4 linked regions of the Tamandua tetradactyla genome follow. The protein of the gene in region 1 interacts with the protein of each later gene in a pairwise test. Links are inferred from orthologs where the notes say so. Each region holds a gene or a part of one and is shown on either strand. Other genes may lie near its edges.

Evidence for each region. The genes of interacting proteins can lie anywhere in the genome.
Region 2: the proteins of LDLRAD1 (region 1) and MARCHF2 interact in binary tests that used the Homo sapiens proteins (3 or more experiments, as listed by UniProt). The two-hybrid records come from large-scale screens. The link is inferred for Tamandua tetradactyla from reciprocal best matches to the Homo sapiens genes LDLRAD1 and MARCHF2.
Region 3: the proteins of LDLRAD1 (region 1) and PLN interact in binary tests that used the Homo sapiens proteins (3 or more experiments, as listed by UniProt). The link is inferred for Tamandua tetradactyla from reciprocal best matches to the Homo sapiens genes LDLRAD1 and PLN.
Region 4: the proteins of LDLRAD1 (region 1) and BNIP3 interact in binary tests that used the Homo sapiens proteins (3 or more experiments, as listed by UniProt). The two-hybrid records come from large-scale screens. The link is inferred for Tamandua tetradactyla from reciprocal best matches to the Homo sapiens genes LDLRAD1 and BNIP3.

Annotation. Positions count from the first base shown.
Region 1 is NC_135328.1:167,435,408-167,443,468, reverse strand, and holds the start of LDLRAD1 (low-density lipoprotein receptor class A domain-containing protein 1), read right to left. Parts: upstream 3,141-8,061; coding exon 3,120-3,140; intron 2,566-3,119; coding exon 2,511-2,565; intron 1-2,510.
Region 2 is NC_135337.1:84,859,828-84,867,407, reverse strand, and holds the start of MARCHF2 (E3 ubiquitin-protein ligase MARCHF2), read right to left. Parts: upstream 3,093-7,580; 5' UTR 2,993-3,092; intron 2,521-2,992; exon of another isoform or gene 2,347-2,520; intron 2,047-2,346; 5' UTR 1,991-2,046; intron 1,955-1,990; exon of another isoform or gene 1,820-1,954; intron 1,752-1,819; exon of another isoform or gene 1,163-1,751; intron 1-1,162. UniProt on the Homo sapiens protein: E3 ubiquitin-protein ligase that may mediate ubiquitination of TFRC and CD86, and promote their subsequent endocytosis and sorting to lysosomes via multivesicular bodies.
Region 3 is NC_135331.1:179,386,343-179,394,490, reverse strand, and holds the start of PLN (phospholamban), read right to left. Parts: upstream 3,093-8,148; 5' UTR 2,960-3,092; intron 1-2,959. UniProt on the Homo sapiens protein: Reversibly inhibits the activity of ATP2A2/SERCA2 in cardiac sarcoplasmic reticulum by decreasing the apparent affinity of the ATPase for Ca(2+).
Region 4 is NC_135339.1:94,575,775-94,583,268, forward strand, and holds the start of BNIP3 (BCL2/adenovirus E1B 19 kDa protein-interacting protein 3), read right to left. Parts: upstream 3,093-7,494; 5' UTR 2,918-3,092; coding exon 2,872-2,917; intron 1,626-2,871; exon of another isoform or gene 70-1,625; coding exon of another isoform or gene 48-69; intron 1-47. UniProt on the Homo sapiens protein: Apoptosis-inducing protein that can overcome BCL2 suppression. May play a role in repartitioning calcium between the two major intracellular calcium stores in association with BCL2.

The sequences.
Region 1 (8,061 bases):
ACAAAAGGCCTCTTCCAGAGTGGGCTTTGGGGGCAGGGAGGGATTCCTTAGAAGAGGGGATTCCTAAGCCCTCCATGAAGCTCTCTGGTTCTGCCTGGGAGCCCACTGCCCACCAAAAGCCCATTCCTAGCCTGGGTCCCGTAGCTGGTGAGCGGCAAAGTTGGGATGAAGATCCAGTTCTCTATCCCCCAGCCCACACCTTTCCTATCCTTCCGTGAGTCTGTCTCCTTAGAACGAGGGACAGATGGACACCTACCATGGGGCAGAAACTGCATTCGGCCCTTCAAAGTTGTTATTTTTATTTTTTATAATAGCTCTTTATTTTATAGATGAGGAAACTGAGACTTGGAGAAGTGACTTGCTCCAGGTCACCGGTGTGAGCTGGGATGTTAGTCCATGTCTGTTTGATACCAAACCCTTGCCCTTTCCATGACTCTGACTGTCCATTCTGGAGTCAGCCAGAAAACACTGATTGGAATCCCAGCTCTGCCACTTGCTAGCTGGGTCACCCTGGGAAAGTCACTTCACTTCTCCAGGGCCTCAGTGTCCTCATTTTCTAGGTAGAATACCTACCCTACAGAGTTGTCGAGAAGGTTGTTAGTCAATGGAACAGTGCTTGGCACCTAGTAAGTGCTATGAAGGTTTTAGCTATTCTTAGTGTTTATTGAGCACCTACTATGTGCTAAGCTCTAGTCCAAGCATTGTGGAAATAGCAGTGATAAGCGCTATCTCTGGTCCTTTACTTCTTGCTTGCTTATGAAATAATGAAATAAAGCTTTATTGAGGACCATACTGGCTGTCCTACTCTGCAAGGGGCACCAAAGAAGCAGAGAATCTGGCCCTTAGGAGATGCACGTAGAAGACAAGGCACAGGCATATAAAAAGGAGAATGTGGGCACAACTACCATGTTTCAGGCCTCGGCTATCTCAGAGAAATGGACAGGAATGGTTCTGGTTCATCTCTGTATCCCCAGAGTACAGCCCAGAGGCAGGCACATAGTAGGTGATTTGTGAGTATTTTTGAAAGAAGAAGGGCAAGGCTTGCCACAGAGGTCCAGGAGTCTAGGGTAGGCCCCCAATTCATGTCAGCTCAGGCCATTTCCATCCAATACACATGTATTTTTGGAGCTGCCTACTCTGCACTCACTGACAAGTTAGACCCATACCTAGCACACTGGCAGCTTACAGTGGCAGGTAGTAAGTGTGGTTAGGCGAGGTGCTGTGTGAGCTCAATGGAGGGGCCTGGGGAACGGGGGCTTTTTCACATAGATGAGGGTATAGGGTGCAAAGGGAGGTCATTCCAGGCAGAGAAGTACAGAAGAAGTGAAGGTCTCATGAAAGGTATGTGGGGGCAGTGGCGGACCCCGTGTGGTTGGTGTGTATTGGGAGAGGAGACAGTAGTAGAAAATGAAGCATAAATCTAAAACTAGTCATCCCTTGAGCCTAGTCAGGGCTCCCTTGTTGTTGGCAAACACAGGGTAAACTCAGATAACCAGGGAGACAGTGTGAAGCCTGGCAAGGAGAGGCGTTCTAGATGGCCAAGCAGCCACTCCTCAAATATTTGTGCAGCAGAGTCCATGTGCAAGGTTAGCAAGAGACTCAAGGGAGAGGCGACAGAATCAAGTGACGATTTCAGCTCCATTTCAAAGCTGGAAAGGCTCTCAAATGTCGATTTTCCTCCCTGGACAGATGGGGCAAAGGAGGCCATTGCCCTACAATCACCCCCACCACCAGTCAGGACTTGGAAATAAACATCAGTGTGGAGCAATGGAAGGCACTAGGGCTTTGCAATCACACAGACCCCCAATCTGGATTCGAATCCTGCCTCTCCCACCTACCAACTCTGTGACCTTGGCCAGGTTACTTAACCTCCCTGAGTCCCAGCTGCATCATCTGTTACTGCACCATTAACAAGGACCCCCTCTCAGAACTGTCCCGAGGATGAAAAGAGACCATGCAGTACCAGGCACATAGTAGGGATCCGACCCTTTCTAGCTATTATTATTATTATTCTCTACTTCTCTGGGTCTTTTCTTCACTGATCTAATAAATATGGGTCAAGAGGAGCATAGAGTTGATGGGCAATAAATGTGGGATCCCTCCTTCCTTTATCTCATAAAGATAAAGAGAACTGTCTTGGTTGCACAGTGAGTCAGTGGCACATAGATGATACAGATGTATGTGATCCCTCGGAGGTAAAAATAATTTCCCAGGGAAATTATTGGATTTGACTTTGGAGCTCGTTTCTCTGAAATACAGGTGGGTCCTGTAAATGGTGCAGTGCCTGTGAGGTAGGCAGCACACAGTAGGTACTCAGTAAATGCTTGTGAGTGGAGAGAATGACCGATGCTATTATGTCAGTGGCTGTCAGCGTGACCAGCCAGGAAGCTGAGAGTAGACGTAAACATGGAGGGTAGAGGTCTGGGGGACAGTAGGACCTTTGGGGGAACCTCTTTGTAGTCAGCTGCCCAGTCTCAGGGGAATCGCAGTCCATCGCTCCAGTCCATTACCTTCCCCTTCAGAGAGGGCTTTGCTTCCAGCAGCTGCATTGCCATTGACATCTCCCTGCTCAAGAGAACAGAGTGAGGCCTGGCTTAGCATAGGCCCAGCCTCGGGCAGTCAGACCTCAGTGTTTTTCAGAAGGGGAGACTGAGGGCCCGAGAGTAGATCAGTCTTTTGGCCCCCATCTCAGATAGAACCACTGCTCCCTGACACTTCAGCATGCTGAGCTCTTCAAACACATCGTGCCTACTTCATATTTCCACACCTTTGCCTATAGGATACCTTTGTCTAGAATGCCTTTTCCTCTACTGTCTGCTTGGCAAACGCTCATCCCCAAACCAGCTCAGGTGGCTCCTCCTCAGTGAGACTTTCTCTGCTGCCCCCTCTGATAATGTAGCTCACACTTTTCCTCTAGCCTCCTGTCCATCTGGCTCCTCTGGCTCCCTCCCAGCACTTGCCCCTGAGCTGTGTAGGTGATTCACCTGCTGGGAGTGAAACCCTACCTAAGAGCAGGTTTACCTCAGTGGCTCCCGCAGGCAGTCTTAACATCTTCCTTTTTCACTGCCCACGCCTCACACCAGGGTTTGCTCCCGAGATCAGGTCAGAGCAGCACTTACCTGGGGGAAGATCTTGTTCATGTCTCGGACTCCCAGCTCCAGTCTCTAGGGACTAGAGTGGACTCAGGGTAGGCTCCCTGTTTTGTCACCAGGGCAGCCTGGGGGAGGGAGGATGAGAAGTCTCACCCCAGGCCACACCCTCCCTTGCAGGCTACCCTGCAGTTCTCTTCCAGCCCCTCATGGCTGTGCTCAACTTCCTCCAGGCAAAGGAAAGGGTAGGAGGGCCCCTTCCCCACTCTGTAGCCATTTTATGGAAGAAGGGCCTGAAGTTCAGAGAGGAAGAAGGTGCCCATAGGTCACACAGTAGTTGGGAGAGGTGAGATTTGAACCCAGGAACTTTTCAAGATGAGCTATCTCCTTTATATCAGTGATGAAACGGGAGGCTCTCAGTCCTCCAGCTGCATAAGATGCAAGCAGAAACAGCCAGAATTAACCTTTTGGTGGGTAAAAAGCAGAGAGTCATTTTTCATTTTCTTTTTTTAATTAAGTAGGTAAATCTAAGTTGAAAGAATACTCATTTTCCCATTGGACTCAATAATGGAAATGTAATTTTAAAATTATTTTTCTTTAGAAAGTAGCAATGTGCATTTTTATTTTTTCTGAGATGGTGCTTGAGGTGGGAAGTGGCATGGTGAGGGGCAGGTTGCTCACCTGAATAATCCCAGGTCTGAGAAACTTGTAGCAAGAGCGCTGGCTTTGGAACTGGCAGTACTAGCTTTGTGACCTGGGATAATAGGTCACTAACTTTTCTGAGTTTCAGCTTCCCTATCTACCTCTCTAAACTTTTCCACTTATCTCAGAAGAAAGCCAGTGCCTCACAGGTGAGCCTCTGTTCTATTTGTCCAACACCTGCCAAGCCCACTTTCTTCACTTGCTCCAACCTCTCCCCCCTTTAATATTTTTTCAGCATAAAACTTTCAAAACTTAAGAAAAATACAGAAAAGTAGGAAGAATAATGTAACAAGTAATTGTATGTCCACTACCCAGAGCTAACAAATGTTCACATTTAGTCATTTTTACTTCTGCTATTTTCTAGTATTTTTTCTATTCAGTACAGCAAAATTGAAGGTCTCTATCTTCCCAGTGCTATTTGCCTCCCCTCCCTCCCCAGAGTCAGTAAGTCTCCTAAATTTGCCCGCGTATGCTTCTAAGTGACTGATTTTTATACTTTAACTACGTATGTATATTTGCATTAAAATATCCAGTATCACCTTTGTGTTGTTCAACATTTACATAAATATCATCTTAGTGTATGTCTCTTTCCTTAGCCTGATCTTTAACACACATCTAGAATCACACTGTACGGGCATCTTCACTTTTACCAGATACTGCCAAACTGCTCTTCAATGTGACTGTACCACTTTGCACTCCCATAAGCAAAGTGAGAGAGTTCCTGCCTCCCCACAGCCTCACCAGCACCTGAAATTGTCAGATTTTCTGACATCTGCCAGTCTGGTCAGTCTAATTTGCCTTTCTCTAGTTATTCCCACTACTACCACCAATTGCTAACATTTACTGAGCACTTATTTCTGCCATGTGTTGTACCACATGCTTTACATATATTAATACATTCAATCCTCCCAAATATAGGTAATAAGGACCATTTACAGATGAGGAAATTGAGGCACAGAGAAGTTACTTGCCCGAGCTCCACAGCTGCTAAGTGGCAAAGTGAGGATTCAGATCTGGGCTGGCTGAATTGTTCTCTATCAAAAGTGTGGTCCATGGACCAGCAGCATCTGCATCATCTGAGTGAGACCCTGTTACAAATGCAGAATCTCGGGCCATACCCCAAACCTACAAAATCAGAACCTGCAGCTTAATAAGACCTCCAGGTGATTCTAAAATGCATATTAAAATTTGAGAAGCCCTGTCCTACACTATTATGCTGTCTTTTTATTTACTGGTCATATGGATTTCCTCCTTGGTAAATTGCTTTTCAAATTTGTTGCCCATTTTTTCTATGGGTAGTTTGTCTTTTTGATGGACTTCTTTAAGCTAGATTTTGAATCCTTTGTTACATGGTTTATAAATATCTCCTCCCAGTGTGTGGCTTGTCCTTGTTTAGGGTGACTTCTGTTAGTTCTTTTTCTAAATTCAACCATCTTTCTTGTCTAGGACCAGGTAAAACCTCATTCCTTACATGAAGCCTTCTTTGGCCCTCCCTCCTTCCCTGGATTTACTTTTCCCTACATTCCTTATGGTCTGTGCCCCCATCTTAAAATGGGTGTGGCTAGGGGAGACCCACTGGATGTGATATCAGCAAACCCCAGCTTGAATCAGACAGACCTGGATTTTCATCCTGACTGCAAATTGATACCTATCTAATTCGAGAGGGTAAGGGAGACTCTCCCTAAGCCTCAGCTTCCTCGTCTGAAGAATGGGAATAAGAAGCTCCACCTCGCAGAGCACAAGCAAAGATGAAGAGTGCACATACATGAAGGTGCTCTACTCCCTTTAGGTGTGCAATATTGTTTCTGAATGTTCTAATCTATTTCCAATTACAGGGAGATCTTCTTGAGGGCTGGGGCTACTTTTTAATCCAGGAACCAGCTCCAGGCTGGACAATGCTAAGTGGGCACTCAAACAGATTGACCCTGGGACCTGAGAGATCTACTTCTAGAACTGCCTAGAGGCGAGGCTCAGTGCTTGACTTGGCACTTATCACTCCTCCCATGTGCCTTCCATAACTCTGGGTTCCCCGCTGACCACTTTTCTTCTCCAAGACTGTTTCTTCAACTGTAAAATGGAGAAGTTAAACCCCATCCTGCCTTTCTGGAGAAATGTTTTAAGGATCCATTTAAGGTGATATGTGAGAGTACTATGAAAAATTTTGCAAATGTCATGGGGAATCAACAAACTCCACTGAGAATTATCTAGGTAGACACTTTTACAAGATAACATTATAATATTGTTTAATGCAGATGATTCAAATTTTATTCAAGTTTACCATGTGTAAGCATTATGAATTTAACAGATTTGATTTTCCAGTAATGACTACATGATGTTATATCTTGAGGTAACATTAAGAGCTTTTGTGAAACTTCTCATTTCTAATCAGTTGCTGATTTTTTTGCACCCAAGCCGTTCAATAATTGCTGTTCCAACATTGCAAAAACAATTCAAGCATAAAAAAGCACACAAGAGGCAGTAAAATTAAGCCCAAATAATATAGAAATGAACAAACAAAAATAATTTACTCTTAAAATGACAAAGGAATATTAAACAACCTCTAAAGCATGGGTTCTGTAAATTTGTATGGAAAAAGTTAAATCTTTATTTTCATTAATTTCTAACTGAAATACAGCATTTCCTTCCATTATGAATTTAGTCAACAAGCCACAATATTTTTAGCACTACCTGTGACTTTATCACCAATAGAAATCATAAATATTTTGATAATCATATTTCAGTTGGTGATTTCAAAACATTACCTTGAAATTGCTTCAAAACTTTAGTAGTTCTGGACCTACCACTATATTTTATTTTATGTGTATAAAAGTATATATATGACTGTTTAACAAAAAATTTTAAATATTTTGATAACTGTATTTTAATATAATTAGCTTCCTTTGCAGTCCTTCATATTTAACTTTATGCAATTGAAAACAATATTCTGAGAATGTTCATGGGCTACACCAGATGCCACCAAAAAGGTCCATGGCACACAAAAAAAATTAAGAATCCTTGCTCTAAACAAAGAAGTCACTAACATCACCTGGTACATGTATTTATAGTGAAATACATGTACCTGGTCTCAACAATACAGATTTCAGAAAAGGGATATATACTGTGCTTCAGAATTTAATTACTGCAAGACGTCCGAAAATCCATACTAATTGTACAACTAATCTCCCACAGGCTACCTGGATATACCCCCACACCCAGGCTCTAATTAGAACAGAGGTCAAAAAAAGAAAGATGAAAAAGGTTACTCATACTGATGATCTCAAATGCAAATATGACAGTCTTAGCAACTAGAAACCTGGTGGGGGGGTGAATTAGTGGATGGTGTCAAATTGCCTTAGCATTGTAGTTTTAAAAATATAGCCCCACATGAAGGAACTTGGTATCAATGGAGAAGCCTTCCCAGTTTGCTTGGCATCACTTAGATATTGACCAGTGCCCTTAGACCAATTCTAGGGTTACCACCAAAACAACAATGAGAGGGAACAGAGAGCCATATATATAGATAAGCGTTCAAAAATAAAAATGAAGTAAAATGAAAGGAAATAGGATTAATGGGAATGAGAAAAAAAAACTTGATAAGGGAATAGAATTTCCCATTTAGAGCAGGTTCTTCTCTTGCTACTTTCAATGTGGTTCTGCAAGAGGGTACAGACTGGATGACTACATAATTTAATGGATCCTAAAGGTTGATATTGTTGGCCTTTAGACCTTCTTCCTCTTTTCTATCCTCCTCATTGTTGTCTGAATGAGCCATTCTAAAACACTTATCTTTCTTGCTTAAAGGCTTTCAATGGCTCCTATTGTGCTCAAGATCAATTTTAGGCTTAATAAGTTCCTTTATTATCTGGTCCCTCCAATCCAACTATTGCCATGCTTTAGCATTTTACATCTCAGCCTACTAAACAATTTGCAACTCCCCACCCTTTTACCACTGTGTCATGAGCCTACTGTCTCTACTGCCTGGAACACTGCTCCCTGTATTTTGTCTGTCTTTTCTTTTTCTACCAGCTTTAAGTTTGGATATCACTTTCAAAAGTTAGGGGCCCTGCTACATGCTCCCCAACGCTCTGTGCTTATTTGGTCATAGCACTTATTACCTGAATAGTCTGTCTCCTTCTTTGAGCAACCTGGAGTCAGGCTCTGGGTGTTGCTTGTTGTTGCAAATTATCACCTACCATAAGGCCTGGTGTTTACGCTCTCAAGTGGTTGCTAAATGGGTCAACTGTGGATCGATAGGATATCCATGCAAAAC
Region 2 (7,580 bases), on another chromosome or scaffold:
TGGGTCAGTCATCTTGACTCTTGGAGTGCTCTGGACTCCTTGGCTCAGACAACTGCAACCATCAAGCAAGTGGCAGGGGCTGAGGTAGACTGAGGCAGCCTCTGCCCCCACCAGACCAGAGACTCTGAGCCATGCCTCTGCCCCCAGCAGGCAGCTGGAGCTTTAGGCAGCAGTTGTGCAATGTGCTGTGGATGGGAACTCTCAGGGCTCTGCCCCGCAACCTGGGGTCTGATCAGCAAACAGAACACTAGGCAACCTGCCCCTCTATCCCAGAGCCAGTCGATGACACATGAAAGAGAGGTTCCCATTCCCTGCATGTGTTTCCCTCTGAGAATTTCATGAAAGTGACAGCAGTTCCTAGGTGTCACCACCAGACACAGATGCCTTACACCTACGTTAAGGGCCTGCCCCCAACTTATCTACCCCCTGTGTCTTTGTCTCCAGGAGCTATGACTGCAGCGATCCCCAAAATATTCAGAAACCACAAGTGAAGGGGCTGGTCAAATACTCACTGTGGTATACCCACAATCAGCTTTTACCAACCCCTGCCAGTCAAAATCTGAGACCACAGTAAGAGGGCAAAAAAAGCAGCATCTGCTATTGACGAACTTTTTGCACCAGGACAGTCTGTAGATGCCTCAGTGCCCTTTTCATAGCCCAGCCTAAAGCTTTCCTGGCCCAACATGCCCTTCTGGGCCTCCCCAGTTGGGTTAGTGTCGGCCAGATAAGCAAGTTATCAGCCCAAAGGCAGGAGGAGCCAGGAGGAAGGCTGCAAGACTGAGATAATGCGTGGAGCCCAGCAGCTAGGCCTGTGGGGCTGTGTTTGCAGCTGTCCCTTTCGAGAGATGAATCCATAGCATGGGGGCATCTCCAAGTGAATGCATATAGAGGTGGGCCCATGCCTCCTGCCCTTGCTAAGGATCAGTCTGAACCATAGTCACTTAACATTTCTGCAAATGACTGGGAGTTACCAGACTTATCCCAGAGCCCACATATTAAGTTCTGCCATTTGTTTTACTATCAGGGTTAAAAAAAAAAACAAAACACTGATGAGTCTGCTAATGCAAATCTCCAACATAATAATAAGAGCAGCTTCTGTTTTAGCACCAAATGCTTGCCAGGTACTGACTTAAGCAGCCTGCATGTCTGTTAGTCAACTCACTGAGCTCTGAAGAGCTGTTATAAATGTCCTCTTCCAGGGTCACCATCCCAGGGAGACCTTCCCTAACCACCCTGGCAGTGCTAGCAGAGTCCAGGTTACTTTCTTCATAGCACATGCTCCTCTCTGAAATGCTGTTATTTCTTTGTCTATTTGGTAAGCTTGGTAAAGGAGGACATCATACTTGCTCCCTCTTGTCCCCAGCTCCCCAGCACTGTGTCTGGCACAGAGTTGCTACATTTACTCTTGCAGAATTAATTTCTCAGCCCCTGCTCTGCGTGAAACCAGAGTGGGAGAACCAGGTCTTCTGACACCCAGATCCTGGTCTGCCAGTCACTGGGGTGGGAATAAGAGAGGTTTAGAGGTTAGAAGGCCAAGCAAGCTGCAGAGGCTTGGGCTTGGAGAAGGCCAAACTCAGGGCTGGAAACAAGGATAGGGGTGTCTGCAGGCTGGATGCAGCTCTGGGGCTGCTGTGAAAGGAGTGGGAGCCATTGCCTTGGCCCCAAGCCTAGGAGATGTATTTCACTGAGTCTTCTCAACAAACTATGAAATAAGTCCTATGATTAACCCCAATGCACAGATGATGAGACTGAGGCTCAGAGAGGGACATTTCTTTCCCAAGGCCACACAGCAAGGAAGGGACAGTGCCAGGATCTGAACCCAAAATGTCCGGTGAGTAGGTCTGGGTTCCTTGAGTGTTAGAAGAAGTCGCTTTGCTTCTTTGGTGCTCCTCTTCCTTTGTCAAATATGCTGATGGAGTGGGTAGACTGAGTCTGCTGAGGGACCCTCTGAGAAGAAGCACCCACGATCAGTTCCTCCTGGGAAGCTTACCCCGGGCAAGGCCTGTCTGGGGAGGTGCTGAGGTACCTTTTCCCAGGCTCCTTTTCCTGAGGGCAAAGAATTAGAGGAAGATGAGTCAGAGGGCAAGCTGCATCACTCTTTGAGCCCTCAGTTTCCTTATCTGGAAAATGATAGTCAAAAGATTACCCAGATCATAAGTCAGTTAATATTAAGAAATTCAACAAATTTTAGTCATTATCACAGTCCCCATTGTCAGCTTACAGAGCTGTTTGAGAATCTTACGAGCCCAAACAGTCAGTGCCTGCATACTGTAAGTGCTAAATACATCTCACCATGTATAGGATAAACATGGAGGCTGTGAAATGCGTTCATCCCTCAGCCCTCACCAGAGCCAGCCTCCTTCCTGCATGCCGGTGGCCACAGACAGGCCGACTCCAATGCCTCCTTCCATACTTCCCTGGCCCTGCATGTGAGGCCAGGTTGTGATCCCAGCTCTGCTTCTTACTTGCTGTGTGGCCCTGGGCAAGAGACTTAACCTTTCTGAGCCTTGATTTTCTCACCTGTAAAACAGGGAACAGTTCTTAGTGCTTCCACCTCTCTGGTTCCTGGAGGACCGAATGCACTAATATACATTCTGTCCACCCTGTTTGGAGCTTCCATCACGTGCCCCACACTCTGCTAAGTGCTTTGTGCACAGTGCCTGGCAGGGTAGGATATTTACAATTTTCCAGGCAGAAAAGGGTGAAAAGGGTTGGACAGGGCACTGACTATTATTGAGCACCTACTGTGTACCGGGCGCTCTGCACATCCGCCACCTCCTGAATTCTCTTACCAACCCCTTCAGACTGGCACTGGGATGACCCCGTTTCACGGAAAGGGAAACTGAGGCTTACAGAGGCGCCTACTGGGTGCCGGGCCCCGGGAGCCTCTCGCCGTCCTCGAGATAGGCAGTGCGAACCCCGCGTCCCGGGGAAGGGCTGAGGCCTCGAACCCGAGGCGGGACGGCCGAACACGTCTCCGGCCCGCGCCTACCTGATCTGTGGCCGGGCCGGGCGACCGCGCAGGCCCCTCGGCTCACCCCGGCCCGGGTCCCGGCCCGGCCCGGCCCGTCAGCGCCGCTAGCCCCGCTCCGGCTGGCACCTGCGTCGGGGCACCGCCCGCCGAGCAGACGGCGCCGCGGGCCAATGGCGACCGCCTCCCTCCCGCCCTCGCCAATCACCATGAATGTCCCGCCCCGGGAGGTGGGGCCTGGGGCGACGGGGCCGACCAGAGCCGCACAGGCCCCGCGGCGCCGCAGCCGCTGGCTCCGCCCCTGCCGCCTCCAGGCCCCGCCCCCAGCCCCGGCCCCGCTCCAGCCCTGTCCTGGGCTCCCGCAGGGAAGACGGCGCCACCTGCTGACGACCTTGCTAGTTAATAATTAAGAGCGTTTCCCGAGTTCCGCATGCCACCTGGCAGAGCGACTTCTAAGTGTTTGTCACCTCCCTTACGCGTCTCATCGGTCCTGGGGAGAGGAAGAGACCGTGTGATTGCATGTTACAGAGGAGAAAATAGAAGCCTAGAGAGGTTGGGGGCCATGGCTCCTGTTTAAAGTCAACATTCATTCATTCATTCGTTCGTTCAATATATGTTCATTGAGGGCCTATTATAAGCCAGGCACTGCGCTAGGCTTTGGAGACACAATATTGAGTTAGACAAACATCGCTTCCTTCGTGGACCTCAATCTAGGGAGTGAGACAGACATTAAGCAACCAATTATAATGAATAATTATTAATTACAAATGTGATCAATTGTCATAAGTGAGGAGGGCGTATTGTAAGAGCTTGGAATAATTTGGGAAGTCTGAAACTATTTCCTTGAGAACCAGCAATGGAGGTGACTTTCTGAGGTATTAGTAGAGGTGAAGTAGGAGAAAAGAGAGGGAAAGAGTCCAAGACAGACAGATCAGTACATGCAAAGGCCCTGAGGTAGGATAGAGAATCATCTAGTACTCCTTTCCCCTCCTGGCCCTGCCTTCAAGGAATATATAGATCAGCTCAATTGACTCAGTTAAAATTAAATATTTATGTATTTAAATTTATATATATTTATGTGTATATATATATATGTATATATATATATTTGCCTTATCAGGCAGTCCATTTTAATTAGTATAATTTTGACTAGGCAAACATGCTGTTTTGTAATTACTCAGTTATTTATATTTTCAATGCCTTTTTTCCCCTAACCATAACATTTAAAAAATAATTACCTATAGATGGAAGAAAAAGAATGGGGGTGGGGGGACAGGGATAGAAGCTAGACTTCTAAAAATACACCTTTGTTTTAAAGATTTGACTTTGAATTATTTTAAAATATACTTAAAATAATTAAATATTTTAACTATTTAAGCATTTAATGTTTAAGTTGTTATAATGATTTCCTTTTATAATATTTTAAATATTTAATAAAATATTTAAAATAATCACCAGTTTTATATTTATAATAGTTCAATAATTTAAATCATCAAAATAAATATTTTAAGTGATTACAAAACAAAATTTTAAATGTAAATAAATTCCTATAAAGCAAAAGGAAAATAAAACAACTGAGACAGTGTACAATTTTTGGAGACTGTGTGTCCAGTTAGTGAGAAAACAACACAAGAGATGGACACCTAATAACTTGAAGGCACAACCATTTTATTTATTTTTGGTCATAGTGTTAGAATTGTTATTCTGAGCTGGTAACATATGTAGTACCAGAAAAAGCAAAGGAGTAATTACGTTGGTGTCAAGATCTGGGATTTTCAGAGGCAGCGAAAGGAGATAGAAGTGTAAGACCGATTAAGTCAAAACCTTAAACTCTTGAATTTAAATTGGAAGTATCATAATATATTATATGTTTATAAGAAAACAACCATTTCCTAGCTTTGTGTACTGAAAAGATGAGAAACAAAGATCAATCCAGTTTCAGTGAGTACTCTTGCTATCCTGACTATGGTCTCTAAATACCATCTTCAGCTGAAGGAACCAGGGAACCTTGGTTGGCCTGAATCTAGGTCCAAAGCAGAAACTGTACAAGAAAAGCCTGGAGCATCTTGTTGTATCACAAAGCATGTGAGTTACCAAAGCTTCTAGGTAGTATCAATAGGAGCCAACTGGAAGGGGTTCCCAATGATCAAAGATAGAACAAGCTGGTCTTTCAATAAGAATAATTATTGCAATAAACCAAAACTCATCAAATATGGACTTAAGTCCATGCACTTGGGTTTTTTATACTTTTTATTTTAAGATAACTTCAATGTATATAAAAGTTGCAGAAACAATACACAGGACTCTCATAAGCCCGTCATCCAGACTCCCCAGTTATTAACATTTCTGGATCCTAATTCATAAAAGTCCATTCAGAGTTTCTAATAAAGTCCTTTAGAGACTTTATTATTTTATTTATTTTATTTATTATTTTATTTATTTATCTTTATTCCTTTAGAGAACCAGATTCCATTCCAGGCTTCCATGATGTATTTTGCCATCATGTCTCTTTGGTCTCCTTCAGTCTGGAAAATTTCCTCATTCTCTCCTTGTCCTTTATGACTTTGACACTTTCGAAGATCACAGGCTAGTTTATTTTGTAGAAAGTCCCTCAGTTTGGGTTTGTCTAACAGTGTCTCATGATTTATTTATTCATTTTTGGCAGCTGATATTGTAGACCTATCAGGAGGTATATGAACCTTTCCATTGCTGGTGATGCTAACTTTTATTGCAGGGTTAAAATGATGGCTGCCAGGTTTCTCCAGTGTTACTATGTAATACTTGTCAATTAACAAGTGGAGAGATACTTTGAAGCTAAGTAAATATCCTGTTTCTCAACAAATTTGCACTCACCAGAGTTGTACCCATCCATGATTTTTGCCTAAATCAATTATTACTATGATGGTTGCCAAAGGATGATTTTCTAACTCCATCATACCTCAGAGACTTATACATTGGTGTTTGTGTGTAAGATAGAACTTTTCCATCCTCCCCCATTTATTTGTATCATCAGGGACACCTGGATTCTTATTTTACTCAAAGGGTTATATTTATTTGCTATAACTACTTATTTTAATGCCTTAAACTGTCCTTGATTTGACCAATGGAAGCTGTTCAAGATAGCTTGTGTCCTGTTGATATGCCACCATCAAATACTAACCACTTCTTATTGGCTCCACAAAATGTTCCAGGCTAACTTAACTTGTATTTTTCCCTTGTTTCTTTGTCCCAACCCTAGAATCAACCATTTCTCCAAGGACCCCTGCTTCCTTTTAGTGGAGAATTTGTAGAACCCAGGATCTGGGTGCCAAGTGTGTTTACCACGGTATTGTTAATTCTGGTCCCTCTCATCATACAGAGCTGGGAAATCTATGTATATGTATTATGTACCTATATACAGACATACCTATATTTTTTTCTCTATCTATCCATCCATCCTTCCACATCTATCTATCCATCTGTTATATCTACTGCTATTATCGGCCAACCATCTATCTATCTAACCTATCTACCTTTATTTCTCTATCTCTCCATCTCCCCATCTACTATTTATCTTTTAAAACACACCAGTACCTCCAATTCCAGTCCAAAGCCCAGGTTTACTCCAGCCCCTTCATGTTTGTAACTTCTTTCTCTGCAGTGAAAAACTTTGTTTTCCTGATTCTCAATACATTTACCCATTTGTTCAACACCACTCCCCCCCCCCCCCATTTATAACCAAAATCTCAAATACATTGGCCAAATACATCAGCCCCGGACGTGCTGCCCTACCCCATCTATCACCGGGTACTCCAACTAAGCAGCTAAATTCATGCATTAAAAAAAAAAAAATCCCTAATTGGTCACCTTTGAAGGCTCCTTGGGAACCAACTCATCATTTTGAAAATGATGAAATTTGAAAACTGGCAAGTAAAGAACTGTGTATCCATGTTGGCATTCCATATACTCTGTCCCTCAGGGTAACCACATAGCAGTTGAAGGGACATTTCTCTTTAGAGAAGTATTTCAGAAGTAAATGAAGAAAGGATCGAATTTGACTATCACCATTTTTTAACCCCTAATGAATTAAAAATCTAGGTGATGTTGACCAGCAGCTGCTACCACAAAAGTTACGTGCTTCCTAGCATAAGTACTCAGCTGTCCCTATGAAGCATTCAAGCCTGAATCTGATCATACCTCTAGATCTAATTATTAATTTACAGGAAATCCAGGGGACAAAGAGACATAGTAAATGATACCGTAGGCCCATAGAGACAGAAAGTAGATTAGTGGCTGCCAGGGTTGGGAGAATGGAGGAGGGGGTGTGGCTGCTTAACAGGTAAGATTTCTTTGGGGAGTGATGAAAATGTTCTGGAATTAGTTGTGTTCATGGTTATACAGTTTGCGAATATGCTAAAAGCCACTGTATTACACACTTTAAAATGGACAAAATGGTGAGTTTTTAAATGTTTTATATCAATTAAAAAAACACACAAAAGCAAAAAGAAAATGTCATCATGGAAATTCAGACTGACAAACTACAAGACAAATGAATCATGCCCTTAAAAACAAACAAACAAAAAAACAAAGATAAGAAAAATTAGAGATAAAAGGAAAAATCTATAAGTTT
Region 3 (8,148 bases), on another chromosome or scaffold:
AATATATTGTAAAAAGCACTAGAGGTCCTCAGCTGACTACAAGTATACTACTATTCCAAGTAAACTGGGGTAGAAGTGTATACTTGGTCTTCATTTTCATTTATTTATTTGGTGACATATGCTTAAGAGTTAGGTAGGGTGAGAACATTAATGCGCTATTTCTGGAAATGACTAAAGAAATTACATCTTATTTGATTTAGGTCACTGTAATTTAGAGGGATTATTTCCTTGATTTTCAGCCATTAGATTTACTTCCTTGCCAATCTGATCAGCACTGTATTAATTGTTAATGGTTTAGATTAAAGTTATTTTCATAGCATGATTAACAAGGTGAGATTTCTCTTTTCAAGCACCTGAAAACAAATAGGATTGGATATTTAGATGATAGAATGAAGGGGCAGAAAAGGGTTTGAGGAAAGCCAAAAATATAATATGAAACTAAAGAAAACTACCACAAGTGTGGATTTTCTGAGAAGTTTTGAGGATGCTTTAATCTGAATTTCAAGTATCAGAGCTAAATGGATCAAAGCCACGAGTATATGAAATAAATAAAATAAAATAAAAGGAAAATTTATTTGGATTGATTGTGATGTGTGTTTTTGGTTTTTAAAGTCTGTAATCATTTTGAATTTTGCCTTTCAGCATATATTGTTTAATAACTAAGGAAATTTATGACTTTTATTCCTGTCTTTAAAAATGATCAGGAAAGTATTACTAGGCTAAACGTAATGGCTGATGAATAAATCCACTTGAAATGGAATGGTTTCAAATTAAAATAGAAATCTCTATCCTCGTGTTTGCCAATATCATGATTTATTTATTTATTTAATGATTTATTTTTAAGCCATGTTGATCAGAGTGTAAGATGAGTCTATGGTTTAGAGTTGTAAAACCTAGGCTCCCATTAAGGATCCACCATTTCCTAGCTCGGTGAGCTTGGACATTTCATATTTTGGCATTTGTTTCCTAAAGTATAAAATGGAGGTGTAATATCAAACATATGATGAGATAAGAAGCTCAGATGAAATATTTGTTCAGTAGTGCATGTAGAACATCTCACTGTTCTGTAATTGCTAAGAGATACCCTATATAATGCAGAGAGGTAATCTAACCTTTATATTTAGACATTTAAGTTTTTATTCTTTTATTGAACTATTTTATTTATACAAATATTCTACCACCAGTTAAATTTAGATTAATTTTAAATAAGAAGCTATTGATATATATATATAAATGTCTAACCAAATATAATTGTTTTTAGAATATCATTTTCTTTTGTCCCCTAAATATTGTTAAAATAGTTTTGATATTTCAGTTTTAGGAAATCATAGTGTCATCACTCCTCTTAGTAAAGCAAATACTCTACCCTTTTCACCAGTTTTTAAAACTTAATTTTTCATAATTTAAGTATCTTTCACATTTCTTCCATTTTATTTCACCTAACACTCTTTATAAATAAAGGCTTTCATAGTAGAATTTCTGCCCTTTCTAGATACTGTGTGCTTTTTGGGGGCATTGTGTATTGTGGTAAAATTCTGGTACAATAAAAGAATCCACGATACCCCAGTTGAAATGGGAGCTATAATTTGATAAATATTTGAGTAAAAATGCATAAACATGCACATAACACATACACTAAGTGAATTTTGTGTAGTATTAAAGGGAAACCATTTTAAGAATATGGAGATATTAGACGCAGTTGGGGTGTGTCCATGGTAAATAAAAATTAGAAATATTTGTACATGTCTTATAGAAAGCTACTTATGGAATTACAGAGTTCTTATCTGTATTGAGCAGAAAATTAATACTTACAGAGTTTTACAGGTAAATTTTATTTTAGCATTTATATGAAAAATATAAATAATGAAATGAAATCTATGTATTATCTTTATGCCCTGACTGATAGAGATTTAAGAATGAATAAACATTTCACATATGTATTAAATTGAGGATTGTAACATAGAGTACAATGGAATCAAATAGAAGTCATAAAATTTATTGCAGCCTCTCAATTCCTGGGCAATATTTTTCTTTCTTTTTTCCTTCTAAATGCAGGAAGGAAAAGAGCTTCGGAGGATAATAATCTGACAAAAGTATGTCCATTAATAGGTAGATTAAAGGTTCATTTACCAAATTTATTCCAATGAAATATTTAGGAACATTTGTGCTGCCAACATAACTGCACTTTATTTTTAAAATATTACATCATTTTCTGTAATTTTAGAAGGATTTCTGTTTTAGGCAATATGTTTTAAAATTTCTAAACTTGTTCTTTATGCCATAATATGGTATTTAACAGTTTATTAACACAATTTATTAAAAGTGCGCATTTTTTAAATGTTAATTTTATTAAAGCTGACTGGAATTCATAAGTTGACTGGAAAAAGTTAATTTTATTAAAGTTGACTGGAAAAAGTCTTCAAGAGAATTTTAAAAGTAGCTTGTATGCTCTTGTATACTCTTAAACTCCATTTTATTCCTATTTACTGTGAGGAGTCACAGTAATAATATAGGCATAGATTTGCCAGTTGTGTGCACGTTGTGCAGCCATATGGCTGGCTATTCATGGTGGTCTAGATTCAGATTGTCCTGACCTGCCTGAATTTTCAGCAGAGTAACAAATAAAATAAAGCCATTGCTTTTACATGGTGGAATTAAACCGTCATTACCACCAAATATAGTAACATAATTGGAAGGATTTTAAGTTGGCAGAAATTCACATCTGGAAAGCAAAATAAAAGTGAAAGTTAACTTAAACTGAGAAACCAATAACCAAGATCAAAGATGAATGTGACTCATTTCAAAATTAATTCTTTTATTAGAAATTAAACTTGTCATATAAAATATTTTATTGTCTAACTTTGAGCTGAAATTTACAAAATGTGATAAATTCTTTCTTAAAAACTTAGTAAGTTTAAATTATAGAAAGTAAAAATTACCAAAATGAGTAAAATCTTACCTTGGCTGCTGTGATTTTCACAATAATAGTGTATTGTGAGTTCTATGAAGTCTTATAGGCATTTAGCTGGGAAATTTTCTGACTCTGTTACCAGGTTTATGGGAACAATTGAAGTAGGTGGAGGAGAAAAAGTATTGTAGGAAGGACTTATGATGTCACTCAGGGATTCTGAAGTTGTGATTGGTTAGCCATAGTTTTATCGTAACCAGACTCTTTAGAACACATATCTTTAGGTAGGTGTGTGGTGTGGAAAGGTCATTCACACTTTGTGCTTCATTTTTTGTTTTTAATTTTTAAAAAGGTATCTGGCAAATAAAAAAAAAGTAGTCTGGGATGGTGTTCTGAAAGCTCTCTTTAAAGATTTTCCATCTACAGGCTTAGAGATAATTGTATACTATACAATGTCTAACGTTGATAAAATTGAAGAGCTAAAATAGTCATAGCAATAGGAATTTTAAGAGAGTGACAATAATAATACGAGCTTGAGCCAAACAACTTTCAGTGAGTTGTTACTTATGCTCTTGCTTTAATACTGCTATTTTATAATGTTAGCTTCTGGCATAATAGCAATTAAACATTTTCATAGAATCAAATTTTACACCTTTTCCTGTCTTATCTTTTTCTTGTTCCTCATACCTTTGTGTGTATCAGGAACAGTGTCTATGAGAAAACCAGGCTAATAACTGGGTAGTATTTCTAAAATGATGTCCTTCATTTAATGTAGCAGTTGTTTTCCTGAAAATATTATATAAATGAAATTTCAGTAAATGGAATGATATTTTGAACTTTTTAGAAGAGTCTGTCTAAGAACTGGGAAAGGAATCTTTTTGAAAAGTCAGCCTCATTCTCCTATTTTATTTTATCTTTTTTTAATCTAATTTTTAGTTTTGCATATTGGATTTACTTAAATCACCAGACACACAATTTCTAGTTCTTAAGTCTCTTTTGTAAGTTTGGAGGAGCTATTTGTTATGAAATTAGCATTTAGAAGAAGAAAATCAGTATTTAATTTTTACAGGGCATTTCAAACGTCCTTTGAAGAAATAGTTTGAGCTGGGGATTTCTCTTTTGATTTTGTTTTCATTATGTTTGTTTATATACTGTTGGGTTTGTCACGTAAGTCATAAATATAAGACCTAGGAAGAAAACATTTTCAGTTTTAATTTTTTTTTAGCTTGAGTGTAACTCAGCCTGCCTCACTTTCTTATGGGTAACTAAAATGTGTAGCAGCAGCTGCTTATGACTCCTTAAATGGAGATTGTCTTGGCTTCTTCCAAAGAAAGATAAAATCCATCTCCTGAGCAACTCTCTTTTTAAACAAGCAGCTAAAACTAACTGAAAAATAGTGTTTCAACTTAAAAGTCAACACAAAATTAAAGAAATTGCATGAATAATGTTTGACACTGCTAAGCACTCTACAAGCAATTTTTCTTTCAATCTATACATAATAGTAAGGCTTTCTTATTTATTATTATCAATGGCCAGTGATGATTGGTAATATGAAATCTAGAAACCTAAAGTGGTTTATAGTAGTTTGTCAAAGATGACAGCTGCAAAAAGATAGACCAAGCACTCAAATCTAGATCTGTTTAGTAAAAATTCCCTGATGGATTGGCATTTTGTGGGGAAAGAAACATCCTTATTTGGATTATAACATTCACAGAGTAGCATATAGCCTACTAGGAAATTTATAAGATAGAGATAGGGTGAATTAGTGTAACTTGTTATTTTTAGAAGGGCTGCTTTAAGTTTGTCTGGCCGTTTACACAATCATTTGAAAATGAAGCTTAGGGAATAGATTATTGTAGTTTGATCACCTCTAGTTCTAGAAAAGTAAAATAGTAATACTTAATTGGATAAACTAAAAAATTGCTGTAAACTAAATAAAATATGCCCTATATAGCTCACGTTTGCTAATTAAAAGCATATACAAGTACATACACTTCACAAGGATATTAATTGTATGTGTCAAAGTTGGTAAATGGAAATAAAATTTTACTTTTCTGACTTGTAAAAGGATGGAGAACTTCTGATTACCCTTTTCCTTTGGCATAGCTTAAACAATTATTAAGTCCAAATGATGCTCTAGGTAGTGTTACATTTTAGTTTTAACCTGGTTGCCCAAACAAAAGTTATTTATTAGACTTGATGGGCTACAATATAATCAATAAAAGGTGCCTCAAAAATTCCCCAACTAGGGGCTGGAAATTTTTCCAGGGGTACTTTGTCAGAATTTTTATTTGGAGTTAGATTGTTTGAATCTATTTTTGGCCACATGACCTTATTCAGTAACTTCCCTTAGCTGCCTTATCTGTAGAATGGGATTGTTGTGAGGGTTTAATGATATTAAGTGGATATAATGACTTGTAGAAATCCTTTGAAGGATGGGTACTTAACCTGGAGTTCATGGGTAGAAGAGATCAAGGGTCCTTGAACATGGATCGGGAAAAATTGCGTCTTTGTTTTTTTACTGAGCTTTTGTTTTTTTACTGAGCTTTAAATAATATTTAACATTGCTTCAGTTTTGACTGCAGGTGAAAACCTCAGAAGCATTAGCAGTCCATGTGACTGTCACTATAGAAATCCCACATAATTTCACATGTGGTTGCAGGTGGTTTAAATACTGTTTATGTTCATAACGACTTTGAAATTATTATAATTAGACCTGCCTCTAGGCATTGTTATTTAATGTGTTAATACAGAAGCAACTATTACTACTTCACATATTTGTTTTTTAAAAATATTTCAATATACTTTGTTTCCTTTCTATTCCTTTTTTGTTTGTTTGTTTTCTTTTGGCATGGGCAGGCTCTGGGAATCAAACCTGGGTCTCTGGCATGGCAGGCAAGAATTCTGCCACCGAACGACTGTTGCACTGCCTTCTAATCCTATGTATTTTATAATTTTTAATGTTTTTATTTTAGAACAGTTCTACATTTATATAATTATTGCAAAGATAGTACAGTGTTCCTATTTACTTCACACCCAGTGTCTACAAATTAACATTTTTCATTAGTATGGTTATTTGTCTCATTATTTGTCACAGCTAATGAACAAATATTGACACACTATTAGTAACTGAAGTCCATACTTTATGCAGACTTCCTCAGTTTTCCCTTAATAACCTTTTGTGATCCAGGATTGCTATCCATGATACCATATTATATTTAGGAATGATGTCTTCCAAGGCTCCCTTGGTTGTGACAATTTCTCAGACTTTTCTTTGACCTTGACGGTTTCAAGGAATATAGATCAAGTATTTCTGTAGAATGTCCTCAAGATTTGTCTTATGTTTTTCTCCTGGTTAGACTGGAGTAATGTATTTTGGGCAGAAAGACCAGAGAGGTGAAGTATCATTTTCATCAGATCACATCAAGGGTATATACTGTCAACATGAATAATCAGTGTTGACATTAACCTTGATCACCTGGGTGAGTACTGTTTATTAGATATCTCTATTGTAAGGTTTCTTTTTCCTCTCCCTTTCTATACTGTGTTCTTTGGCAGGAAGTCATTATATATACCCCACACTTATGCTCCACCAACTTAAGGATCAAGTATTTACATACATTGTTTGGAATTTTTCTATTTATATAAAAACTTATAAAAACAGATCAGTAGGTTTCAGTCTGCCAAAGTGGAGTACCTGGTCCAAACAAATTTAAAATTCTTGTCTTGGAGGATGCTTCTGTAGTTGTATGGGGCAGTGCTTTTTGAGAGAGGAAGACTCAGTTCTCAGGCTTAAAACCCAAATGTCTTCGCTTGATATTTTAGGTCTTGTTTTTCTAACTTCATCTCTTACCACATCCCTTTTTACTCCATGCTCTGGCTTACAGCTGCCTATGGCCATCTGAATAGGCTATGCTATTTTAAGCCTCAGTACTTCTTGCAGGAATGTCCTCCCTAACCAACCCTTATTCCCATCAAAGTACTATTTCAATTTACCTATTTTGTGAAAAATCCATCCCTGCCGTATGCCAAATGATTTTGCATGAACCCATATCATGTCTGTTTTTATTGTGCTTATTAGTTTTATTCTGCCTAGACTGCACGCTCCTTAAAAGTGGATCCAATGACTCATATTTGTACTACTATTTATTCTTTATAATGCTATCGTCTAGTATAGAACCTGGTTCATAGAAATTCTTAAGTATTGAATGTATAAATGAAAGGGAGAGAGGGAAAGATTGCCAGGTTTGTAGAGCTGAGTTATCCTGCTGAGGTAGATGTTAGGGTCAGCTAAAAAATCCTTCCCAATTTTAAAGCTCAGTATGGGGAGGAAGAGAAGGATGTAAGTGATTGGTAGTCTTGGGAAGTAGAAAAACTGAGAAAAGAACTTACTGTCTTATTGTTTTAAGGTGTAAATATATTTAGTGGGTGAGTGTTTAAGAAGGTCATATTATAAGCCCAAGGTCCTAAATTGAGCCTTTTTTCCCTCATTAAATTTTTCCTTTCCTTATTGTATTAATAATCCATGGTTCTTTAGGCACTCAGTATTTGCCCATACATGGCCTACTTTCATTTATGTAAAGTTGTCTAGTTGTTGCTTTTTAATAATGTAATAAGGACCTGTGAAGTCATCTCCTCAACCAAAATCCAGGATGTTAGCAATAACATACTCAACTACAGGGTCTTGCCCAATTCATCACCCTGTTCCTCCTACTCAAGCAAATGATCGCTCTGAATACCAGGTTCATTTCTTTGCTTTTGTTTTTATATAGTTTTATAGCTTTTGTATGTATTCCTCAAAAGTATTTATTCCTATTTTGCTTGTTTTTACCTCTGTATAATGGATATCATGATGTATGTAATTTTTTACATTGAGTATTTGAATTCCAATTGGTAGTAATATGGCGGGGCAAAGGAAGCTTCAGAGTAGACTAGTTTTTTCTGGAAATTTTTGAAAAAAATTAATTTGAAGTGGTGACTAAGAGCATTTTAATATTTAAGTAAACATAATGCAGTAAAAATGCAAACTTTGAATGAATTTTTGTGATATATGTAAGATTTCAAAGATCAGACCCCCAGGCCTCCAGGAAGACTTTACCCAGCTCTTGGGGATACTTTTCTGTAAAAAGTTAGAGTTACTGCTTCAGTTTTAAATCTCCTTATGGTGGGATTATTTGACCTAATCCTAAAGGCAAATACCTAAAAGTAAAATTGAGATTGAGAATGATGGTTTGAAATTG
Region 4 (7,494 bases), on another chromosome or scaffold:
CCAGAAAGGACCGGGTAGCAAAAGGGGAGCAGAATCAGTTTTGCTACCTGCTAACTCTTCTGCAAGCATCTGGTCACACAGCCTGCTGCCCTTCCCACGGGCTCCGGCTACCAGGGCCTCCTCGGGCCTCCATTCAGAGGTAAACAAGGGAGAATCAACTCAGAGCGGAGCTGTGCAAGCCAAGTGCAGATTCACAGTCTCGGGGCAGCTGGGCGGTCCCATGTGACCGGAGTGGCAGCTCCCGGCGGGGCTGGGCAGGGAGCGTGCTCCGCTGCACGTACAGTCAGAGGGCGGCCCAGGGAATCCTCAATGCGAGTTTCCACTCTGCGGGTAACCATCTTTTTATAGAAGAAGCAAAACAGAAAAACAAAAACCTTTCAATTCCTGAGCTGGCAGTCTTGTGTGGCCAGTGACTCAGCAATTTGGGTTCTAAACCAAGGAGGGAGGAGCTGATGGGCTCCCCTCCAGAGGACCCCAAACTCTGCTCCAAAGACCCTCAACTTGAGGCTTAATGTCTGAACCAAGAGGTAAAATAAGCAGTACTGGAAATAAAGGAGTGTGTTCATTAGAAAAAGGGTGATTTTAAGGCAAAGGACTTATAAAACATTCCATGGATCTTACTCCATGACAAAAAGAAAGAAAAACCTCCCTTAATCTATTTCAAATGGGGGAATGAGTCCATGCTAAAAAAGACCCGAACTACAGGAGTTTAAAATATGTGGTTGTAGCTTTTAAGTACATATACAATACAATAAAAAAGATTTAGTTTAGGCTAACTAAATCTTACCTTGAAAAACAATTTAACAACAGGCAGCTTTCTAATACAGCCGAAGAGTCCAAGGACTTCAACCACCTTAGTGAAGGCTGCAAATGCACTCTCAAAGGGCTCAACAGTCCTCTCCAGAGCTTATTTACACGCTCACTTTGCTTGGCGAACTCTTGCTTCAGAGAGGACAAAAGTCAGCAGTGGCCAGGCTCCTTACCCACCCCCTGGGCCCGGGCTGTGTCAGTGAGGCCAAAGGAAAAAGCCAGGTGTGCCAGGCATTCCTGTGCGGGCAGACCCACCCAGGGGGGCTGAGCCTAGGCCCCCCTTAGCTGCGGGGAGCCCTGGTTTCCTGCTGGGGGGGAGGGGTGCCCTGGGCGCACAGGGCCAGGCTCCAGGGCTGGGGCTCCTGCCGCCTCTGAAACGCCAAGGAGCTGGGGCAGAACAGCGTCCTTCTTCTTGTACTTTTCTGACCCCTAAGTCAACTTTTACACTGTTTTCACGATGACCCTCCAGGAGAAATGGAACACCAACCTTAAAAATAAAACTGACTGCATGCCTGTATCATTTTTCAAATGTTCATTTCCTGAAAAAAAGGAGCACTATATAATATTGGTAAACACCCTTCCCCCTTTCCTTCCTTCCTCTTTTAGGAAAAAAAAGATGGTCGCTAAGATACAAATGTTAATCGTTAAAAACTAAAAACCATAAAATTCAATTTGCAGTATTTGTTTGCTGAAATCAATACTGGCCAAACCACAGAAAATGCAAGAAAACTCGAAAGGTTCTACTGCGACGTGAGGTTTAAGCTGCTACAAGGAATAATTCAGGCGGGCCAGCTGTAGGCGGTGTCCGGCACCCGCAGCCTCTGCCCAGGGGCTCCGCGGACAGTGGGCCTGGCGGGAGGCACTTCTGCCCAGGCAGCGCACTCTTGGGGGACACCTCCTTCACGCTGCCCACTGCCCAGCCCCGGCGGGGAAGGCCCACACTGCAGCGGTTTCGACAAGAAGGTGTCTTTTTAAATAGCCTTTTACACATTTGGAATTGGGGACGACAGGCTGACACGGCGCCTCTCACCACAGCACCCCTTCCGGAATCGGAATGACTTCGGCTGGTTCATCGGCGCCCCGAGAAGGCCAAGCCCACTCCACCCCACCCGAACCCTACGAGCAGCAGACCACAGCGCTGCCCAGGCTACTTCCTAAAACACTGCAACAATAAACTGTGAATTTATCCACGGCCAACTGCTCCTTCACAGACTTCCTCAAGATGGGACTGCGCCCCGATTTCCCGTCACCTCTGCCCTGCCCCGAAAAACCATGTGCCGGGGCTTTCCCTTTAGGACCCCTTAGTCCAGGGGCAAGTTAACCCTTCAACTGCGCACAGTTTAACTCTTGCCAACAGCCGAGCCCCCCCCCAGGTCCTCCTCCCGGGGGGAAGCGCTGCTGCTCAGCGGCCGCCCCCGGCTCGGCCCCCACTGCTGCCCCGACCCTCGGCCTCCCCAAGGCCCCCAGGCCTCCCCTGCCTTCACGGCTTCCTCAACCCCCTCGGCCTCCCCCAGCCACCCCGACCCCCGGCCACCCCCGGCCACCCCGACCCCCGGCCGCCCCCGGGCCCTCGGCCTCTCCCGGCCACCCCACCCCCCGGGCCGCCCCCGGGCCCTCGGCCTCTCCCGGCCACCCCACCCCCCGGGCCGCCCCCGGGCCCTCGGCCTCTCCCGGCCACCCCGACCCCCTGGCCACCCCAACCCCCGGGCCGCCCCCGACCCCCGGCCACCCCCGGCCACCCCGACCCCCGGCCGCCCCCGGGCCCTCGGCCTCTCCCGGCCACCCCACCCCCCGGGCCGCCCCCGGGCCCTCGGCCTCTCCCGGCCACCCCACCCCCCGGGCCGCCCCCGGGCCCTCGGCCTCTCCCGGCCACCCCGACCCCCTGGCCACCCCAACCCCCGGGCCGCCCCCGACCCCCGGCCACCCCCGGCCACCCCGACCCCCGGCCACCCCGCCCCCCGGGCCGCCCCCGGGCCCTCGGCCTCCCCCGGGCCCCCGGCCTCCCCTGGCCGCGCCCGCCCCCCGGCCGCCCCCGGCTCCGCGACCCGCGCCCGGCCTTACCCTGCAGGTTCTCCTCCTGCAGCGCGGGGGCCCCGCTCAGCGACATGACTCCGGAGGGAGATTGCGGCCGCGGGGTCTGCGGGGCGGGGGCGCGTCCGAGCGGTTCGGGGAGAGCGCGGGCAGAGCGGGCAGAGGAGACAGCGCGCAGGCCCAGCTCCGCCGTCCGAGCCCCGACTGACCGCTCCGGGCCGGGGCGCGACGTGGGCTCCGCGACGGCGTCGCCCATTGGCCGCGGGCGGGACCTTTGCGCGTGCGCGGGGTCGCGGGGCGCGTGCGGCGCGTGCGGCGCGGCCGGGGGGCGGGGGGCGGGGGGGCCCGAGGGCGGAGGGGGCGGGGCGGGGCCGAGGGCGGAGGGGGCGGGGCGGGGCCGAGGGCGGAGGGGGCGGGGCCGAGGGCGGAGGGGGCGGGGCGAGGCTGAGGGGGCGGGGCGGGGCGAGGGCGGAGGGGGCGGGGCGAGGCTTTCTCGGGCTTCCCCGGGTGCCGCGGTCTAGGCGGGGGCGGGGCGGCCGCGGGGCCTGTGTGCGGCCCGCGATGGAACCTAGTGCCGCGAGCTGCGTGGCCGAGGGCCTGGGGGTCTGGGGCGCATGGAGGCCGGGGAAACTGAGGTGCGCTAGGCCCAGCAGCTGCTCAGTCACGGAAACTGGAGAGGCGCGGCTGCCGCGGAGCTTCGCGGCCCTCTCGGGGCGGTAACCCAGCCCTCCTTCCGCAGGCGATGCAGACCTGGAGGCGGCGGCGCGCGGCTGGCTGCGGCTCTCAGGAGGAAACCCTTTTCTGTTTAATGTGGTCTGAACCCGAACCCGAACACACTCAAAGACAGGTCTGGGCAAGCAGGAAGCAGGGCCACCGGCTCCAGGGCGGCTGCGCCTCTGGGCGTCCCGCTCTCCTCCCTTACCCCCACAATAGAACCCCGGCAGGGCTTCCAGGTGGAGGTGGCTGCTGTGCACTTAGAGACCCAAACTATGTGGCGCCTTCCGGAAGGCTGCACCTTCGCTCCTCTGTGTGGGAATGCCGCCTGGGGAACCTCACCCACTGGGGGACTGGGGAGGCTGAGGGGTTCAGCCTGGCCAGGAACTGGGAGCCCAAGTCCCACTGGCGGCCCTGACGTTGCGCCCCTCCACCTCTTCCTGCCCTCTGGGAGCCACTTGTGTCCACTCCAAGGCAGTGCCCCAGCCAGGCTCCTTTACAGGCTGCCCGCACGCTCAGGAGTCGTCATCCTTTCTCACCTTTCACCTCAAATTGCGGTTGACACCCTAGGACATCTTCAGACTTTCAGTGCAGCAGCCCGAGAATGGGGCCTGGCTCTGTCTGGTGCCCGGCGGGCCCCGGTGGTGGAGAGCAGGGGAGGAAGCGGCCAGCGCTCGGAGAATCCCCTGCTTGGTCCTCTGAGGTGTGTTTGGCCTGGCTGGCCTTGGTCTGGGGCCAGAGACCTCTGGCCACAGGCTTCCTGGAGATTGGGACGGACTCTGGCACACTGTGGGCTGGGGAGGGGGCGTGCAGTGCAGGCGGAACACCAGGAGAGGGCAGGAGGTCGTGTCTGGGGACTGAGTGCCAGGCCAATCAGGAAGGTCTGCACCCGGGAACCCCCCCTCCCCCCAGGATGACTTGAAACACAGCCTCACTGCTGCTCCAGAAGAGAAAAATGGACCAACAAAAGCAGAACGCAGCTGTGGCCACAGCAGAGGTGCCAACTGCAGCTGCAGGACACATGGCCCAAGAGGCACAGTGACCAAGTGTTCTAGTTTGCTAGCTACCAGAATGCAACACACTAGAGATGGATTGCCTTTTAATAAAGGGGGATTTATTTCATTAAAAATGTGCAGTTCTTCAGAGGAAAGGCAGCTAACTTTCAACTGAGGTTCTTTCTTACATGGAAAGGCACAGGGTGATCCCTGCTGGCCTTCTCTCCAGGCCTCTGGGTTCCAACAACTTTCCCTGGGGTGATTCCTTTCTGCATCTCCAAAGGCCTGGGCTGAGCTGCTTGCCCTGAGATGAGGTATGCTGAGCTGCTTGGGCTGTGCTACGTTGAGTCTCTCATTTAAGCACCAGCCAATTAAATCAAACATCATTCATTGCAGCAGGCAGGCCTCCTAGGCGACTGTGGACGTAATCAGCAACAGATGAGGTCCACAAGCCATTGGCTCATGTCCACAGCGACAGAACTAGGCACCTTCACCAGGCCAAGTAGACACCTGAACCTAACTACCACACCAAGGAAGGCTGGGCAGAGCGAGTCCATGTGCCCTGGTGACAAGCGGGGAGAGGCCAAGGGCCCTGGGATTCTCTGCCCACACCAGCCGCTCTTCAAAGAGGAGACAGGAAATGTCATCAGGCTGGTGGTTTCTTTGCCTTTCGAGTGAAAAGGGGAAAGCTTCCCCCAACCCCTTAGCTACAGAAGTGGTCCAGCTAAATGACGGGAGAATATGGGGATGAGAACATCACTGTTTTGCTGCTCCTCCTGAATGAATGAATCCACTCATCGATCACAAACAGCTGCTAATAACACAAAGTCAACCAGAAATTCTGTCCCCCCATAGAAGGCCCTAACACAGCGTGTGAAATAGTTTGGTTTTCCCCCACAAAAAAATTAAACCTGGTTTTGCATGGTTTTTCTGTATACTTACAACTTCTTTAATTTATTAAAAAACAAACAAAAAACCTGTATCTAATCAAGCCTCTGGAGGTAACTGCCAAATTCAGAGCACAGACGAGAGAGGAGCATGTTATGTGCTGGCCTAGAGCTGCAGTCAGCAAAATGCAGGTTGTGGGAAAGCATAGGAGAAATGACTCATTTTCTTCAACAAATAAATTGCAAGGGGAAAAAGGAGATGGATTTGTTTCCTGACACTGGCTGGCGTGGGGGTGAGGGAAAGAGAGGGAGGGAGAGAGAGAGAAAGAGAAATTTGAGCACAAAGTAACTATTTGAAAAAATTAGTGTTATTGTTAATTACTTTTAGGTGTGATAAGGGTATAGTGGTCAGGTGTTTTTTTTTTAAACGCAATTTTTATTGAGATATATTTACACAGGTCAGGTATTTTTAAGAGTTACTAACTTTTAGAGTTACATGTTGAAATATTTATGTAAAGAAATATGATGTCTGGGGTTTGCCTCAAAATAGCAGAGAGGGCAGGTGGAGGATTGAGGTATAGACGCCATGAGGTGTTGAAGCTGGGTCATAAGTACATAGAGGCTCATTTGATTCCATCTACTCTTATATGTTTGCTATTTTTCACAATAAAAATTGTTTAAAGGATGAATGGAGGGGAAAATCAATATATATAGAAACCTAAGTAAGGAAGAAGATGGTAGAGGTGCCATATATATATTTTTTTTTTACAGTGGGGAGAATGGCATGGGGACTTAGATGTTTGTTTTTATCTGTTTTTACTTTTAGGGAAGGGAGGAGGGGAAAAAAAGAGAGAGAAAAAGAGACAGAAAGAGAGAGGAAAGGAGGGAGAGAAGAAGGGACGTGGGAGGGCAATGCGGGCAGGAGAGCACCACACTCCCCAGCTGTCCCCATGGGCTTCACCCAGATCACAGTGCACAAAATATCAGAGGACGCTGCAGTGACCTTCTGTCCGAGCTGATCACTTCTTGCCCTATAATCCAGAGCAACTCGTGTGGCTCACCTGAGCCTCGACATTCTCAACTTTACCAGGGTCATAATACGGAGATGACACAGAACCTGTCCTTCTGTGTCTGGCTGGCTTCACTCAGCATCATGTCCTCAAGGTCATCCGCTGTCATGAGCTCCAGGACCTCATTTCGTCTCACGGCTGCATAATGTTCCATTGTATGACAAACCACATTTTGTTTACCCACTCCTCTGTTGACGGGCAGTTGGATTGTTTCCATCTCTTAGCAATTGTGAATAATGCTGCTGTGAACATCGGTGTGCAAATGTCTGTTGTGTCACTGCTTTCAGCTCTTCTGGGTATATACCGAGTATTGGCATTGCTGGGTCATAGGGCAACTCATTATTTAATTTTTTGAGCAATCACCAAATGTCTTCCACAGTGGCTATACCATTATACCTTCCCACCAGCAGTGAATAAGTGTTCCAACTTCTCCACATCCTTTCCAACATTTGTAGTTTCCTGTTTGTTTAACGGCAGCTGTTCCTACAGGTGTGAGGTGGTATCTCAGTAGTTTTAATTTGCATTTCCTTATAGCTAGAGAAGGTGAGCAGCTCTTCATGAGCTTTTAGCCATCTGTATTTGCTCTTCAGAAAAGTGTCTACTCATATGCTCTGCACATTTTATAATTGAGTTGTTTATTCTTTTGTTGTTGAGCTGTGTAATTTCTTTATGTATACGGGATATCAAATGTTTATCTGATTTATGGTTTCCAAGGGACCGTATTCTTTTAGTTCTGTCTTGCTCTTAAAATCCGATTGAAATGACAGTAAGGAAATACAAGGAAATAAGCCGACAATATAGAGGAGTGCTGGAGTTGGGTCCTGGGTGAACCAGCATTATTAGCATTCTGGAAGACAAAACAACAACAGTGTTTCACCGGAGAACAGAGAACAGGAGACGCAGCAGCTCAGATATCCAAAGTCAGAGGCAGGTTCAGGCTTTGTGTGCCCTTAAACTGACATAGTTTTAAGAACAGCTTTATTGAGG